Linked DNA regions of Macaca fascicularis. The protein of the gene in region 2 binds, or shares a complex with, the protein of the main gene of each other region. Links are inferred from orthologs where the notes say so. Each region holds a gene or a part of one and is shown on either strand. Other genes may lie near its edges.

What was found.
Region 1: STRIP1 (region 2) and STK24 share a complex: the UniProt entries of both Homo sapiens proteins name them as parts of the core of STRIPAK complex. The link is inferred for Macaca fascicularis from reciprocal best matches to the Homo sapiens genes STRIP1 and STK24.

Annotation. Positions count from the first base shown.
Region 1 is NC_088391.1:89,365,816-89,374,642, forward strand, and holds part of STK24 (serine/threonine-protein kinase 24), read right to left. Parts: intron 4,315-8,827; coding exon 4,206-4,314; intron 3,934-4,205; coding exon 3,776-3,933; intron 1-3,775. UniProt on the Homo sapiens protein: Serine/threonine-protein kinase that acts on both serine and threonine residues and promotes apoptosis in response to stress stimuli and caspase activation.
Region 2 is NC_088375.1:124,257,420-124,266,346, forward strand, and holds the end of STRIP1 (striatin-interacting protein 1), read right to left. Parts: intron 8,061-8,927; coding exon 7,934-8,060; intron 7,717-7,933; coding exon 7,616-7,716; intron 6,843-7,615; coding exon 6,776-6,842; intron 6,231-6,775; coding exon 6,126-6,230; intron 5,500-6,125; coding exon 5,295-5,499; intron 3,531-5,294; coding exon 3,283-3,530; 3' UTR 2,546-3,282; downstream 1-2,545. UniProt on the Homo sapiens protein: Plays a role in the regulation of cell morphology and cytoskeletal organization. Required in the cortical actin filament dynamics and cell shape. Part of the striatin-interacting phosphatase and kinase (STRIPAK) complexes.

The DNA.
Region 1 (8,827 bases), on a different chromosome or scaffold from region 2:
GAAACCCCGCTTCTGATAACTTTTGAGACTTGGACACAGATGTGACCCTCATCGGCCCTCACCACACGCCTCCCGGGTCAACAAACCTGGAAAGTCAATTCCACATCAACCTAAGAGTCTGCTCATGATTTCCAGTTCAGAGTTGTTGGGGAGGATCCAAGCAAGTGAAATAACTTCTGACACAAGTCACAGTAAAGGTAAAAACAGACCAAAAATGTGACACATTTTCTCATACTATCCCCTTCCCAACCAAGTGTGCACTCGCCAGAAGTGGGAGACCATACTCTAATCCACCCCCAACACTATAACACCTACTGGTCAGATCAGAGCCTCCTGATGGTTTTTTTTTTTTTTTTTTTGAGACGGAGTCTCGCTCTGTCACCCAGGCTGGAGTGCTGTGGCCGGATCTCAGCTCACTGCAAGCTCCGCCTCCCAGGTTTACGCCATTCTCCTGTCTCAGCCTCCCGAGTAGCTGCGACTACAGACGCCTGCCACCTCGCTCGGTCAGTTTTTTGTATTTTTTAGTAGAGACGGGGTTTCACCGTGTTAGCCAGGATGGTCTCGATCTCCTGACCTCATGATCCGCCCATCTCGGCCTCCCAAAGTGCTGGGATTACAGGCTTGAGCCACCGCATCCGGCCGGGTCTTTTTCTTTTTCTTGAGACAGGCTCTTGCTCTGTCGTTCAGGCTGGACTGCAGTGGCACAATCTCGGCTCACTGCAACCTCTGCCTCCTGGGTTCAAGCGATTGTCCTGTCTCAGCCTCCCAAGTAGCTGAGACTACAGGCATACGCCACCACGCCTGGCTAATTTTAGTATTTTTAGTAGAAACGGGGTTTCACCATGTTAGCCAGGCTGGTCTCAAACTCCCATCCTCAGCTTCCCAAAGTGCTGGGATTACAGGCACTTGTGAGCCACCACACCTGGCCAGAGCCTCCTGATGTTGAAAGAGCTCGGGGAAGAAGGCAGCCAAGCTGTGATGTCCTCACACTGCCTCCAGCAAACGCCCAGGGAGGCCCTGCCCTTCGAGGAAGGTGGTGGGGACGGCTCAGGCAGACAGGACAGCTCTTGAATAAAGGTTCTCATGTGAGCAGTGATGGTGGAACCAAAAACGGAAGATCTCCACATGGCCCCGTCTCCTTTCTTCATGGCACTGTGCACGATCTGAAACTGCTTACTGGTTGTCTCTTCTACTTCAGGAGAGGAGGGAGCGTGCTGTCTTGTTCACAGTTGTATTCACAGTGCAGTTGCTCAGTACGAATTCGTGATGAATGGCACCAGCTTGATTTTCTTCCTTTGAAGGCACTTAATTTTTTGTTTGTAATACACCTTTTTTCCTCTGGAAAAGATTCTGACACATGTAATAATCTCTATTCATTCATTTTGCTTGATACCAGGCAACCTCTCTTTGACTTATGGGTTCACATCATTCTTAACCTCAGATAAGTTTTAAATCTTTAAACTTTAAACATTCTTCTGTTATATTTATTCTGGAGTTTTCTTTAAAAACACCAATTAGAGCTGTGCACTGATTCTTTCAAAACTCTTTTAAACAACTCTCAGCTTGCATCTCAACTAGAACGCCATCTCACCAGGGCCCCACCCTGAAATGCACGCTGAGTTGCCCACACCACACTGAGGTGCCCACGCCTCCTGCCCCGCCACTCTCTAGGGATATTTCTCACCTAAGGCAGGTAAATCCCTGAAAATGGTGACTACAACACAGCACGCTTGCTCCTAAAGTGCTGTTAATTCTTCCTGTTTACTGTCAGTCTCCTGCATATGAATTTAAGATATATAGGAGAAGAGACTTTTGTTCTTGTCTACTCCAGTATTACTGAAATCCAGAAAAATGTGCCTACACAGAATGGGTTAAATGAAAGAATATGAAATAAATACAATAATGAAAAAGAGAGAGAGAAGGAAGGAAGGGGAGGAAGGAAGAAGGGAGAGGAAGGAAGGAGGGAGAGGGAGGAAGGGAGGAAAGGAGGGAGGGAGGGAGGGAGGAAAGGAGAGAGAAAAAGAGGGATGGAGGAAAGGAGAGGAAAGGAGGGAGGAAAGGAGGGAGAGAGGAAAAGAGGGAGGGAGGGAGGGAGAGAGGAAAAGAGGGAGGGAGGGAGGGAGAGAGGAAAAGAGGGAGGGAGGGACGGAAGGAGGAAAAGAGGGAGGGAGGAAAAGAGGGAGGGAGGGAGGGAGAGAGGAAAAGAGGGAGGGAGGGAGGGAGGGAGGGAGAGAGGGAGGGAGGGAGGGAGGGAGGGAGGGAGGGAGGGAAATCTAAGATCAGAGTCCTCAGTCACAGCTAATTTACTAGAAAGAACGAGAAGAGAATAATCAAGGTGGTGTTATCCAATGAGTTAAGAAACATGGGTTCCAGTCTCAGCCTTACCAAAATCTACACAGATCAACTTTGATAAATGGGCCTCAGCTTAAAATAAAGAGAATGGACTAAACATATAAGTTCCTGGTTGAGTCCTAAAATTACATGACCCCAGGAAAAGGGCCGACAGCCAAGGTAGCTGGAGATGAGAAGCAGCCAAAGCAGCATCCCTCCCATGTGGGGTAGAGACACTCCCAGGCAGGGCACACACCCTAGACCAGCCAGGTCTGCTGCGTGGGGGGTGGGGTGGGGTCGGGGGGAACCCACTAGTCACTCACCAGCCAATGGCTGTCAAGGCCATCATAGTGCTCAGAAAAGTTGTGGCCACCACTACCACACAGCGGTGAGATGGGCTCACTCCTCCCATGGTGGAACCAGGCACACCTGCAACTTGAGCTACAACCTGGACACTTTCTAACAGTCTATAGCTTGCAACGGTGACCCTGGGGCTGCAGGGAAAGTCACCTGGTGCTTCCTGTACCATGTTTAACAAGGTGGGAAGTCTACCGGGTACTGGGAAGATTTCTATTTAAAAGCAGCAGCAAGGTTCGGCCTGTATGTGTGTCTAAGCATATGTTTGCTCAGAAAGTTGGGGTCCAGGAAAGCCAATTCTCCGTGGATCATGTGGCCTCTTAACTGCGTACAGGGTCCAAAGAAGAGCAGACTGTGGGAACTGAAGTTAAACCAGAGCCCCAGGAGGCAAAGTCCCGGGATTTTTTGTCCCATCTAACAGAGTTCACAAAAGTGGAGGGCAACAGAGAAAAAGAGTATGAGAAAAACTAGGAGCGCATAACACAGGACAAGTAAAAGCAGTGGGAAGAAAGGGTTAGGGTCTCATCTCATGTTGACAAGGACAGGCTGGGAACGAGAATCCTGAGAACTAAAAATAATAGGAAGACCCTGCAGCAGTCACTCAAAGCACTGTTCTTCCTCCATTCTCACACTTCCGTGGACTCCCTCCCTTTCTCTTATGGGAGCCCCTTTCTCTACAGGCCCCTTCAAGGCTGCAGATTCCATGCACTTGCACTTCAACCCCCAGCTGTGCCCAGACAGCAGGTGGAGGCCCTCTGCAGCCGCACACGCCTCCACCCCTCACCACCGCGGCCCTTCTCTTCCTCCCACCCCGTTCTGAACCCGCTGCGTCCTGTGTCCCCACCGCCACCAAACGCACATGGTCTGAGCTCAAAACTTCGATCATGGTGGGCTGGATCAGCAAAGGATACTAAATGATACAGCAGCAGACAGGAGAAAACTGTAACTAAGGTTGAAGAATTACCTTTATGACCTACCTCAAGGTACCAGCTTCGGTCCAACTTACAAAAGCTACCAGGCTAAAGAACAAAAGGCGGGAGCCCTCCAGGCCCCGTGAGGCACAGCGCCACCCTCACCTTCCCCTCACCTTCGAGTCGTAGGCCGACTGTTTGATGACCTCGGGTGCCATCCAGAATGGGGTGCCCACGAAAGTGTTCCTTTTGATCTGGGTGTCCGTCAGCTGGCCGGCCACGCCAAAGTCCGCCAGCTTCACCTCCCCGTGCTCAGACAGCAGGACGTTGGCCGCTGCAAAAGCAAGCCAAGGGGGCCCTGAGCGGCGGGGACTTACAACTCCATGCACTGCCACGAGCGCGTCTTCTCCCCGGCTAGGTGTTGAGCCCAGGGAGAACAGGCACTGGGGGCTACACTTTTTGTCAGACCCCCTCAAAGCCAGCCCAGCCCAGGCAAGGCAAACGTGCACGACAAATGGGTGCCAGCACCTTCCCTTGAGAAGGCTTCAGTGCAACCCCACCACCGCCTTCACTATTTCAAAGGAATGAAAACAGACGTCCTCTTACCTTTAATGTCTCTGTGGATTTTCTTCTCGGAATGGAGATAATCAAGTCCTTTCAGTATTTCTCTTAATATAGTAGCGATCTGGGTTTCATCTAACGGGCCAGGTTCTAACTAAGAAGAGAAAAAAATTCTTAAAGTTACTTAAATGATTATCTTATGAACAGTTTGAGATAAAACAGAAACACTATCCATGTTAATGGACAAGGGTAATTAAAACCTGAAATCTTCTTCACTTAAAACACAGGATTTTGCCCTAACAATTACAGTCCACTGACAGACACTTAAAAAAACAAAGAGCCCAAGAAAACGGCTTTGCTGAATGAAGCAAAGCGGAGCCAATGAGGAAGCCCGCGGCCCCGCCTGCGCCTGCAGCTGACCACACGACGCCCCACCGGCCATGGCAGGGGCGGGGCACAGGCTGGGGATTTCACTCCAGGAAACAAACAGCCAGAGACTCACAGAGCAGCCAGGATCTGTCCCAACATATGTGGTTCCCTTATCAGAAGGCTCACCCCTGGGATCCAAAAACACCTAGGAACAAAGGCCTAGGAGCCCGGCGCCTCTGAGGATAACCTTGTACTAGAAATTTTTTAAATCCGCAGTTAAAGCTCCCCAACTTGGGGGAATGCAGCTGAAACAGCTTAAATCCTAATAGTTTGGGATTTGTTATATAATCGATATTATATAATAAAAATAATTATTATATTATCCCTGAGGTAATAATTACCTCTGAAAGCTTTTATTCTCAGAAACTCAAACTAATTGTTCCTACTGACTCCTTTATATCCACAACTGTACAAGACGAAAGGAAGAAATGTCAGGTATCCACATCTCCATTTAAAAGGAAAGGAAAACCAGGGTAACAGGCTCACTTCAAACCAGATGGGAAGCCCCGCCCCCGCCCCCTGCAGAGTGGGGCAGTCAGTCAAAAACAGTAATTCCACGGACGACAGCAGCAAAGCCACCGACGCTCCCCGGAACCACAGAAACGGAGCCGGACAGAGGGCAGATGTCAATACAGGCAGGTTCCTCCGAATCATGGTCCCCCATTCTTGGTTTTCAGGCGTGACAGTGAATGTCTTCAAAGCCCACACCCACACATTTTAGCCAACGGGAAGACACAATCTGGGGCCTTTCACTTAGTTTTAAAAAGATAAGTTACGTGCTTTAAGCCAAAGGGGATGAAAACTAGGGTGCTCCTCTGCGGGAAGCGTCTGACTCAGGCGTGCAGGGACAGACTCAGACTATCAGGGACAGACCCCGATAGTCCCCCTTGCATATCTCAGCTCCTTCACCGGGACATCCTGTTCAACATCCGGAAGGGCTTGTGGGGCGCAGGATGGGGGCAACCAAGACAGCCCTTGTCACCGAAACCACAGCCTGACTCACACCTGGCGCTGCTTTCCGGCTCATGGGTGAGCTGTGCTGCCTTGGCTTGCAGGCCCGCCCCGGTCTACACAGCAATCCCAGGGTCAGGGCCACTCTCAGAGGTGGCCTCTCCCCACACACTGGCCTCGATGCGACTCTGGCCTGCCTGGCAGTAGACCCAGCTGGAATCCAGCCACCCCGGCCTTCTCCACTCAGGACCCAGGCGCAGAGAATGCACTTGTCGCTTTGAATTTGACCTCACGCATATGCTCGGAGAAGGTCAAAATGCCCGTGTCCATCGCCTGCCAGGAACTGTCCCAAATTCCAATTAAGATATTGTCCAAAAGTTACCTCAGACTAAGACATTATGGCACAGACTCTGCTCCCCAGAACATAGTTTTTCCCAGTTAACTGACCAAAAGTCTTTTTTTACAAGAAATGCATATCGAAACTACTCTTCTAAAGAACACCATCTGGAAAACCCTGCCTTGTGGTAAGTCTGTTTTCTCCACATCTATTTTTCGGTGTTCATAGAATATAGAAATTTTGATTTTCAAAATGAGGAACACAGACTCTTCTCATCACCTGGGTGGAACGTGGGGAGGAGGGTAAGACGGAGGAGTGTTTGCTTTTGTTCCCAACCCTGAAGTGCAGGAGAATCCACTCGACCAAAGATCAAAGTCATGTGAGAGGCCAGGTGCGCTGGCTCACGCCTGTAATCCCAGCACTTTGGGAGGCCGAGGAGGGTGGATCACCTGAGGTGGGGAGTTCGAGACCAGCCTAGCCAACATGGTGAAACCCCATCTCTACTAAAAATACAGAAAAATTAGCCGGGCTTGGTGGCACATGCTTGTAATCCCAGCTACTTGGGAGGATCAGGCAGGACAATCGCTTGAACCCAGGAGGCGGAGGTTGCAATGAGCCAAGATCACACCATTGCACTCCAGCCAGGGTGACAGACCAAGATTCCATCTCAAAAAGAACAAAAAAAAAAAAAAAAAAAAACAAACCAAAAGTCACACTAGAGTTGGGTCCCATCTCCCATCTCCTTCTTCACCAAGTCTATGCCCAAGCCAGCGATCAATAACCTGTGGCTAGACCTGGACTTAACCACCCTCCCTTCCATTACCAAGTCTCCTGAAAGCAATGGCAGAGCGGCCGGCTGTCATCCCCAAAGGGCGCTAAGAAGAAGAGGTGAGGAACACTCATGGAAAATCCTCCCCTGGATAATTAAGGGCTGGCTCTGTGATGACTATCTGCATGGTTCTGCCCTTTAAATCTGCCCTGAACACCATCCAACATTGACTCATATGCCCATGGGGAAAGAGGAGGAAGAGGAGAAAAAGAGATAAAACTCTCCTTTATTTGGGGAGAAATCCTTCCTGCATCAAAATCCACTATAAAGGGTATTTAGCTGTTGTCTACCCCAGAGTGCCTCATAAGCAGCTCGGACCAGGCCAAGCTCTCCAAGTCATCGGCTGGCGTTCACCATCGTGACCATGCTCTCCATCATTCAGGCACTTGCAGACTCTTCAAATAGGACCCAGGAAAAAAACCTAGACTACATTCCACCGCTGGGTGACTTCTAACTTCCCCTCCCCGTGTCTGTCCTCCCCTGCTTCGAAGCTCTGTAATAGGGACCATCAGCTGGGCACACAGCCACGACAAGAGACCACATTTCCCAGACTCTAAGCAGCAGCCTGTGGTCACACAACTAAGACCTTGCCAGCGGGACAGACAGGAGCAAACGTGCCCCGTGCCCCTGCTTGGTCTTGGCCCTGAAGCACTGGCAGCGAGAGAGGACAATGGCTGAAGACCAAGGGAAGCCTGGGGCTCCAGATGGTGGAGCCACCCACCAGCACAGACCGTGACAGTGTGGGTCAGAGCCACTGGCCCCACGTGCAGGGGAGAAATGAATTTCTACCTTTTGTGAGACAATGTGTTAGAGCTAGTAGGATGGCAGCTTGGCCTAAACATTAATGAATATGCCATCTCATTTCTTAAAACCCATGTTGTGGACTCATTTTTTAAGTCTGTCAAACACCTCTGCCTAAGTGACTGGTTTATGCAGCACAGTCCCTTTGTAATTAGATTCCAAGGTTGTCCCTCGGATTCTCTGGCAACGCTAGCTGATCTTTTAACCAGCGAAAACCTCCTGGTCTCAGGCCCTCTGTGGCTCATCCTCACTCCAGCTCCCCCATTCACCTCCCCCGCCTGCACTGTTTTCCTTGTAGGAAGGAACCTTCTAACAAACGGTGTAACTGACCAACCTCACCAACAGAACAAGACTTTTTACACTGCTGTGTCCACCGCAATAACCCCCAACGGCCAGAGCAGCTGCTGAGACACAGGAGGCACACAAGTCTATGCTGAATGAAAAATGATTTCCCTCACTAGGCTACAAAGATGGACTGCACTGTAAGTTAGGGTGTCTTGGACTGTGTGATACTACTTACTCTCTAAGTCGGGGCACCCTACAGGCAAGGCGGCTGGAACTAGAGAGATGACTGACATAAGTAGTTTTCAAGTTATATTCCAAGAGCCCGGTGGCCTTAGGATCATATAAACACTAATTTCCATTTACCATTTTATTTTAAATTTTTTTAAATCAACAGACTGAGCACACTCAAATATGTGCATTCAAAATAAAATGTGTACCTATTTTATATTCATGGCTCTTAATAATACTGTCTCTATTCTCCACATGAGATCCCAAATTTGCATTTTTTAAAAGCTAAAAAGCACCCGGAGAACAGAAAAGGTAGCTGCTAAAGGACGCATCCCCTGCCAGCTGAGGGACGCCCATGCCCGACAGCAGACGTCCACGGGTGACGTCTCAGCAAGCCACCCAAGCAGACCTGGACTCATCCCAGCCTTCAAGTCATAAAGCCTCTCTGCTTCGTCCTTCGCTCCAAAATGTGGAGCCTGAGATTTACGTATATGCCATGTTGTCTGCCGCCCAATCTTTAACTCGGGGCAAAGTCACTTCCCCTCTCCAGGGTGCCCCATGCATCTGTAAAATTCCGGATGGACTTTCAGTTCCCCTCAGCTCCAGCAGACCCCTGCACCTCGAGAGGGCCCGGTGGTGTGGATGTGGGAAAGCAGCAAAGACTGCAACAGCTCCCAGCCTACCTCCAAAACACCCCTTCCCAAGAAAGTGTGGCCTCTTTGAGGGGCTGAGAGCAGGCCAACAGAAAAGGGTAAAAATGGAGAAAGACGACAACATCAGAGGTGGGTAGAGGACACTGTGGGGTCA
Region 2 (8,927 bases):
GACACAGGAAATGGGTGCAAATTCATAGAACATTAGAGTTGGAGGGGCCATTGCCAAGACTAAGAACTGCTACCATTTATTGTCATCCCTTGTCAGCCAGACCTGTAGGTTCATTTCCATGATCTTACTCAGTCCACGCAATAGGGCTATTATTAAACCAATTTTTACAGATGAGCCAACTGAGACTTGGAACTTGACTAGCTCAAGGTCCCTCAGTGAATAAATGTCAGAGCCCGAACTGAAAGTCAGGGCTGTCTCACTTCCAAAGGGTGCTCCTGAGGCTGACTGTGCTAAGTGCCGAATGAATGTAACAGCTATTCTCCTCTGAGAAGTCAGCTCATCCAGGACAGACAAGAAGCCAGCTTTCTGGGAAATGAGCCTAACAGGTCTGGATAGGGCAGCCAACACAAGAGTCCTCTGGGACCCAGAAGAGAAAGAAATTTAGGCTCAGGCTGAAAAGAAAAAAGACAGCAGCAACAGCCAAGTTACCCTGAGGAGGGCACATCCAGGGAACACCAGAGGCTAGCCCAAGGCTAAGCTTGGGTGGTCCAGTTAGGACCTAAAGCAATGGACATTTACCATGAATCTTTCATGCCAGGGATGATGCTAGAGCAAATAGAAGTATTGGCTGTGGTGAATAAATGAGCAAATGAATGCACTGGTGGTAAGTACTGGTGGTAAGTGCTGGGGTATGACAATGACTAATAGCAAAGGGTGTGAGGAAGTGAAAAAAATGCATGTGCTGACAGAGGCCTGGATTTGAATCCTGGCTCTTGCCTTTATATGACTTTGGGCAAGTTCTTTATCCTTTCTGTGCCACAGTTTTCTCCTGTGCAAAATAGGGATTAAAATGGCATGTATCTTTCAAGATATTACAAGGAATATATAAGATATTATACATCAAGTGGTTAGAATGCTGGCTGGCACACAGTAAGTACTCAGTATTTACTGGCTTTGTAGAAAATAAGGCTTTGAGAAGCATCTAATATTGTGCCTGGTACCTACTTGGCAACCCATAAGTGGTAACTCTTATGATTAATAACGGACAGTTCCTATCCTTACAGTGATACTGCCTCAGGGTAGTCTGTCTCTCAGTGGATTGAAGAGTGGACCCTGAGTCTGCTTAGCAATAAACAATATTTTATGTAATTCAATCATTTACAAAGGGTCTTCATGTACTCTGCCCACTTCATGACCCAGATGAGATTTAAAAAGCCACAAAAACTGGGTGGCTCCAAAAGACATTTCTGTACAAAGTCCTGAGTTCAAATGGCCAACCTGCCACTAACATGCTCTGTGACTGTGAGAAGCCCCTTCCTCTCTCTGGGCTGGCTCCTGGGCCTACAGCTGAAGGGATTCACCTGCCCAGGCTTCACGGCCCTTGCAGTTTTGATAGTCCTGCATTCTGTTTTGCAGGTCAGAGGAGAGACAGGCCTTGACCATGCAGGTTCAGTGACTCAGGCTTCATGGGACAGTACCAGTGTGAAAAATCCATCTCTCCCTAATTGAAATCTCAAGATACATATTTCCTACCAGTCCTGGCAAGAAATAGCAGAAAATCCATCATCCACACATAAACTGTGTCAATTCCCTTGTCCTGTACAAGTTACTTTGGGGCAAAGGGCCCATCAGTCACAGATGGGACTTCCCATCTCACAGACTGTGTGACCACCAGGAGTACACTGCTGCCTTCCACCCCTGCTGTCCCTAACCATGCTGGCACATCAAAAGGCCTGTCTGAGGCTCAGCAGGTCCCAGGTCAGGCAGGCACTGAACACAAGACCCAAGGAAGGGGAGATTCTCCCCAAAACATGTTTCCTTTACAAGTCAAGACCCTTCAAGACTTAAGAACCTATAAAACAACTGCGTACAGGTAAAATAAGAGCTTCCAGGAATTCTAAAAAGGGAACACTCCTTTTACCAGCATCAAAACGGTAATATCTTCTCAGGCAGACGCAACCAGGGGTCTGGAGGCCAGAGTGTAGGCGCCAGGTGTCCACTGACACCCACTGCAAAGATTTTCCTTGCTTTTTTCTCAGCCACAGGGGGCTCCTGGCTCCTGGCAACATTGTTTCCCACCATGAACCTGACTCCTGATAGTCTGCTTCCTACGCTCTGAGTACTGAAGTTTCCGCTCAGTCCCAACCACCTGCCCCAGGGAGGACCTAGAGCAGCTGACCCCCTTGCTTTGACCTAGCCCCTCCCTCTCTAGCACTGACACTGGTTTGGCTGAGGCCAGCTCAGTGATGTGATCCAGAGAAACCTGGGGCTCCTACTGAAATTACAGCAAACCCAGGGGTGCAGGACAATGTCTCAGTAAAGTAACCTTGATAGTGCCCTGGAGTTGGGTGAGAGTAATCCCAGATTACTGTGGGGTTAATTTACACTGGATAAATGCCAACTCCCTCTTCTCTTCCCCCAGGATGGGAAAGGCAGGCAGCTTGGCAAGACAAGCAGTGACCAGCAATGCTAGCAGAAAAAAACACTTTCTAGACCTGGAGGAGACATGTAGAGGCCATATTTCCCGTAGACAAGCCAACGGGAATGATTTTTGCTTATTTTTAATGTAAACAGAATACACAAACACATTAAAAACCCCAACATGACACAGGAGAATACACACAGAATTATATATAGGTATTTACAGGCCCTCCAAAGCCAAAAGGAAAAATGGCCCCTCTGGTTAAGGGAAGCTTCTCTTCCTACCTTGTCCCTGTCCAAAATCAAAGTGTGGAGGCAGCTGCAGGAGCCTCTGCAATTACTTCTGCATGTAACATAGCAGGAGGCTGGAATAACAACAGAAACCCCCCACCCCCACCCCAGAGCACAACCAAGACACCGTTGTATTTTTTTTTGGCCCTGGCCCTAATCCTAAACTCTCCTCCTTTGCAAGCTGACAAAGCAAGGATTTGTGTGTCTCAGGAGGCATCAGCATGACCCCTGAAATTTAGATGTGCTGTGGAGGGGTTCCCATCCCATTCCAGCTTTCCCAGCCTTGGGCTGATTGTGAAATGAGCCAAAACCAACCATGTCCAAGAGAGGAGGGTGGGAGAAATAAAGGAAGAATGGATCCCAGGCAGAGATGACTGCTTCTGAGCTGGACCCTGGGAACCAATAGGAGGTAAAGCTGGGCTCATCCAAGCCCAGGACAGACTGCAGAAGACACAGTGGGGCTGTGCTGCCACCTGGTGGGGAATGGGAGCACTGCAGCCATGAACTAGGACAGTCCTGCAGGTACCTTGAGATCCTCCTTTCTCTGTTTCAGTCCCCTAACCAACAGCCTTACTGCAGCAGCTCTTCCCAGGAAATGGGCTTGGAGAAGACCTCCCTTTCTAACCAGAGGTCATAGTTCATCTGAAAGTCCTCAGGGAGGTCCACCCGTTGGCCCAGGACACTCTGCAGGCAGTTGTCCACTGGCAGGAAGTCGGGGTTGCTGTGGGCCCGGTCATAGCGCCGGGCGTTGAAGCGTTCAATGTTGGCACGGAGGGCACACTCCTCTGCCTGGAAGTCCCAAGGCCGGGCATCAAGATCTGAGACAAAGCAGGAAGAACACAGTTAGGAGCCACGCCCTGTAGCAGCTCCCCATGGACTCACTGCAGCTCAGGGGCCTGGCCAGGAATATTGAGTGTCAACTAGGAGCAGGATACCTCCGAGCTCTAGGAATTCCTTCCTAGATCCAAAGGAGAGTCAAGTACAAGCAGAAAAGACAGAAGTACCGACAAAGAGGCTTATACTGTAGAGATTATGTAGACCCAGAGAGGGAGAGCCATGTGTACAACACATTTCTCTCAAAGTGGCAACCTCCCTAGCTCTCTGGGGTCAGAGGGAGGAACCTGGAAATCCTCTCATTTGCTCATTCTCTCTCAACTCCCTGACCAGGTACCGTGTGCCACCGTGGGCCTGCACACATTCACAAGGCACTGAGAGTACAGACACAGTCATTTAGCCATGGTGGTATACTCCAGAAACGCAACAATGTGGCAACACACCCACACAGAGCAGCCCAGGCGGGCAGGGGAGACCCTGCGGGTGGAGGAAGAGCGTCTGCAGAGGCCTAGCAGTGGGAACCACACAGCTATGTTAGGGCACTAAGCACTCCTTGTGCCTGGAGCTCTGGGTATGATGGAGGCTGGACTGACAGCAGGTAACGAGGTTGAAAAGGAAGCTGGGTCAGATTACAGAGGAGGATAATGAAAAAGGACGAGGGAGCCTCATGCTTGAGTCTGAATCTAATTCTAAGGGAAACAGGAAGCTAATGAAGGATTTTACTCAGGGAGGTAACAGCACAGAAGCTGCATGTTGAAAAGATTCACTAGGGTGCCGGGCGCAGTGGCTCATGCCTGTAATCCCAACACTTTGGGAGGCCAAGGCAGGTGGATCCCTTGAACCCAGGAGTTCAAGAACCACCTGAGAAGGATAGGCACAGTGGCTCACGCCTGTGATCCCAGCACTTTGGGAGGCTGAGGCGGGTGGATCACTTGAGGCCAGGAACTCGAGACCAGCCTGGCTAACATGGTGAAACCCCATCTCTACAAAAAATACAAAAATTAGCTGGACATGGTGGAGTCCAGCTGTAGTCCCAGCTAGTTGGGAGGCTGAGGGGGGAGAATTGCTTAAACTCGGGGGGCGGAGGTTGCAGTGAGCTGAGACCGTGCCAGTGCAAACCAGCCTGGGTGACAGAATCTCTGTCTCAAAAAAAAAAAAGAAACAAAAAAACACCCTAGGAAACATGGTGAAACCCTGTCTCTACAAAAAAGATACAATTAGGTGGGCACAGTGGAATGTGCCTGTGGTCCAGCTACTCGGGAGACTAAGGAGGCAGATGTTATGGTGAGCCGAGACCACACTCCAGCCTGGGCCAACACAGCCCCATCTTTGAAACAGGCCCCATCTTTGAAAAAAATTAAAGTAAAAAAGGATCACTAGGGAAATCTAAGACACTGATGGAGGGGAAGGAACTAGAGGCAGGGAAGCCAGTCAAGAGCTGTAAAAGTTTGGGTGGCCAAAATGGGGATGAAAAGAGGGGACATAGTGTTATGACAATTTCTAGAAAAGGAATGACTTGGAGGTACAGGGAGAGATGGGGATGATCGCAGATGCCAAGCCTGGGTAGCTTCTCAAAGTCCTTCCTAGAGTGCCCATCCTGATGCTACAAAAGCAGAAGCTGGGCTCCTTTCTGTTCCTTGGTGGGAAGCTCAGGGCAGAGAAGCACCTGAGCACCACGGGCAGGGAGTGGAAGATGTCACCTTGCCCGACACACTCCCACCCAAATGTGACTGAGTGCAGAGCCTCACCGTTGCCGTATGCCCAGTCGTCATTGAGCCGATGCCGCACCTTCTGGTAGATGGCAGACATGGTCTTCATGTTGCTCTTTCGCCACTGCCGCCCCAAGTATTTGGTCTGTACCTTGAGCAGCTTCAGCACGTAGAGCTGCATCATGGCTTGTTTCACCTTTAGGGCCCGCTTCAAGATGGGGGCTGACTTGAACACCACCAGCATCTGGGAAGGCAAACAAGCAAGCAGCCCAAGCTGAAGACAGAAATAAATGCATACAGCCCTGGTCACGCTGCTGCTTAACCCTTTGGAAGTTAAGGTGACAAACCTTCCCAGTTTCCCTTGGACTGAAGCGTTTCCTAATACATTGGACTTCAAATGCTAAAACCAGTAGAGTTCCAGGCAAACCAGGATGGTTGGTCACCCTAACTAAGGGTCACTTTGGAATCTGAAGAAAGCTATGGATTCTTTCCAGAAACATTCCTGTGTACACGTACACATAAGTTACCAGAGGATTCAAGGACCTCCCCACCCCAAAGGCATCCACAGACCCAGAGTTAAGGAAGATTCTCAGAACCCTGGTTATGTAACCAATCAAGATTAAGATGACATGGAAAAAGCTCTTCTGTAAGTGTAGATTTGTTTTAGTACATGACTGGGCCTCTTCCAGCTTCCAGTTCAACTCATCAAACTCATCAAGGAACTGGGAACTGGCCCATAAAATGCAAGGATATGGCTACAGCAAAGTTAAGTGAGAAGGCACAGTGAGCCCCACCCTAGGGACTCCCTGCTCCCAGCACTCTTCTTTGAGCTCCAAGTTCCAAGCCTGCTGAATGCACTGACTCACTTACCATTGTCCTTGAATGCTTCCACTTTGTCAGCTTGTTCAAGATCCGAAGCAGATTGATACAAGAAAAGAGGTTCCTCCAGCAAAACTGGTTACTGTCACCTGCTTCCTGCAGGGTAAACCCAGGAACAATCAGCCCTCACGGCTACAGTGTGTGCAGCAGTTTCCAAAAGTCCCTCACACATGATCTTAGAAGAGCCGGGTCTTCAGGCCTCTACCAGGAACCCCCTGCTCTCAGAGCAGCCCCAGGACTCCGTCCCAGAAGCTGGCAGGGACTAGGGGAAGAGGGAGGCTCCCCAGACTTTTCCTGAAGGAAACATGAACCGTGATACTGGGAGCTGCAGCCTTGGGCTGCCCTAGGGCTCCTACTGCTGAGTCCAGTGTTGAGGGAGAGAAGCCCTCTACGAGGTGAGCTCTGGATCAGCAGCCCCTGAAGATCACACTCCCTGACAAATCCCTAAATCCAAATCTCTCTGCTCTGCAAGAGCCCTCCTCCTGGCCCTTTTGTACACTTACAGTGCTCTAAAAGCCGGGCACTCCACAGTGACTTCGCCTGTGGGAGACACCTCTATTCCTGTGGTGTTGGGGTAGGCAGGCTCTCTACTCACTAACCCGGGTGCCAAAGGGACAGCCGAGGAGAGCCCAGCCACTCACCAGACTCTCTGCAGTCAGCTCTGGCAGCTCATGCACCACGCAGTGAGGGTAATCCAGGACAGAAATGCTGCAGAGGGGAGAGGATCCAGGTGCCCACCATGAGCAAAGGCCCAGGGCCTAGTGGAGCAGCCGTGCCTGAGCCAGTTCCCAGCCTTCCTCCCTCACTTGTTGGAGCAGAAGTAGGAATCTACCTGGTCTGTCCCACCCGTTTCCCCAGCTATAAGACGAGGAAATATCTGCTACAAGGGAACTTGTAAGGCACTCCTGTAGCCAGAGGCCAGCTGGTTGATCTTGTAAGGGGCAGAGACCCTCACAGCTTCCCCCATAGCCATCAGTGCGGGGCTGGGGAGGAGACTGCTCAGGGCAACTAATTGATGCCAAGCCTTTCTGGAGACAGGGTCTGGCCAGCGCCCTGTGGTATATCACACTGACGAGCAAGTAATGTCAACTATAGCTGGCACCAGGCCAACAGCAGGGGCTAAGAGTCAGCAGACAGGGCGTTACAGGGCACATGGCCGAGCCCCTTAGAGAGAGCAAGCAGCCCAAGGTCTCCTCAAAAAAAAAAGTACAAAAGGGACAGGGAAGAAAGTACTAGATCCCGGGATGAAAACCCTCCTGCCCAGGTACAGGCCGAGGCACCTGGGGCACGACTAGCTCGACTCAGATTTGACACACTGGGCTCTCCACAGGCAGGGGCCATGTCTCATTTATCTTTGTGTCCTGATGCCTTGCAGAGCGCTGGCTCGTAGATGCTGGAAAAATGGAGGCAGTGGGAAATACCAGCTGGGAACTCTGCTGTCTGACCATACCCGCCCCTTCACGGTCCCTGGCCCTCGTCACCTGTTCTTGGCGGTGATGTAGGACATGATGTTTTGATTGAAGAACTTTAGGATCAAAGGAATGCAGTTGGCAAACACCAGGTGCTGGGCCATGTATTCAAACTGAAGCCAACAGGGGAAGAAAAAAAAAAGGCGTGGCCCTTGGGACCTTGCCTTCTTTCCTCCAGGGATGAAAGGCCTTGGCTGGAGGGCCATGTCTTAGAACATTCATGCAGAGTTCAAGCGGGTCAAAGGCCAAGGCCCCCGTTCTTGTGGGCTGGAGGAGCAGTAGTGCCCGAGGCCCCAGACCACAGGACAGGAGGGAAAGCCCTGCGGGTACCTGGTAGACATGGTTCAACTTAAAGTGCTTGAGCAGCAGCAGCAGGACAGCAGAAATGGCCTTAACAATGACCTCTTTGTGGCGGTTTACGTCCACCCCCAGCTTCATGCTCTGCAACACTGTGGTGCTGGAAACATAATTAATTGCCTGGGTAAGCCACCAGCATGTGCAGTACCTCCTTTCTAGGTGCCCACAGAAAAGATGGACTCCTGAGCCTCCCTGGGCAAAGACTCCCACCTCCCCACTCACCCCATGGACATCTCAGAAGTCAGCCCAGGGCTCCCCCATCCACCTCCCAAGCAATGTAGCCTGGCACAATTTATTCCTTCCCCATGATGCCCTCAAATACATTCTTAGTCTGCTTCTCTGCCTTTCCTCTAAAAATGAACTTCTTCTCCTTTCCAAGATCTCCCCTAAGCTTCTGCTGCCGTATTAACCTGAGTTCTCCAAAATGTGTTCTGTGGAATACCAGGATATTGGCAAATTTCATGTCATGGAAAAAAGGGTTTTGGAGTCAGATAAATTTAGGAAGCACTGAGTTACATCAGTTTCTTAATTCAGGACTTCTCACTGTACATCTTTATAAAAGGAATTCCTCCTTATAAGAGAAATCCATGAATCAAATATATAGTATGACTCTAGAACCTTTTTTTCAAGGATCATCACATGATGGCCTAGTGTTCTGTGATTCTCCCTCTGGTATTAGCCAATTCCTGCCTCCTCCTTCACCTGGCCATCACTGCCATACTTCAGGGCCACAGCCACCCAGGAGCTGGACTCAGGGCTGGCGGCCCAGGCAGGCAGATCAGGTCAAGGTCCAGGTCCTTCTCAAAGTAGAACATGATCTCAATCTGTACTCTCACATGAAAAACGAGTACAGGGCCCAGCGCAGAAGAGCTCTGAAGAATCTCACTCTATCACCCTGAGCCATTTGCCAGCATTCTGCGCGTCCGCTTACTGGCGAAAAGGGACGTCTCTATACCTGGCACAGGTT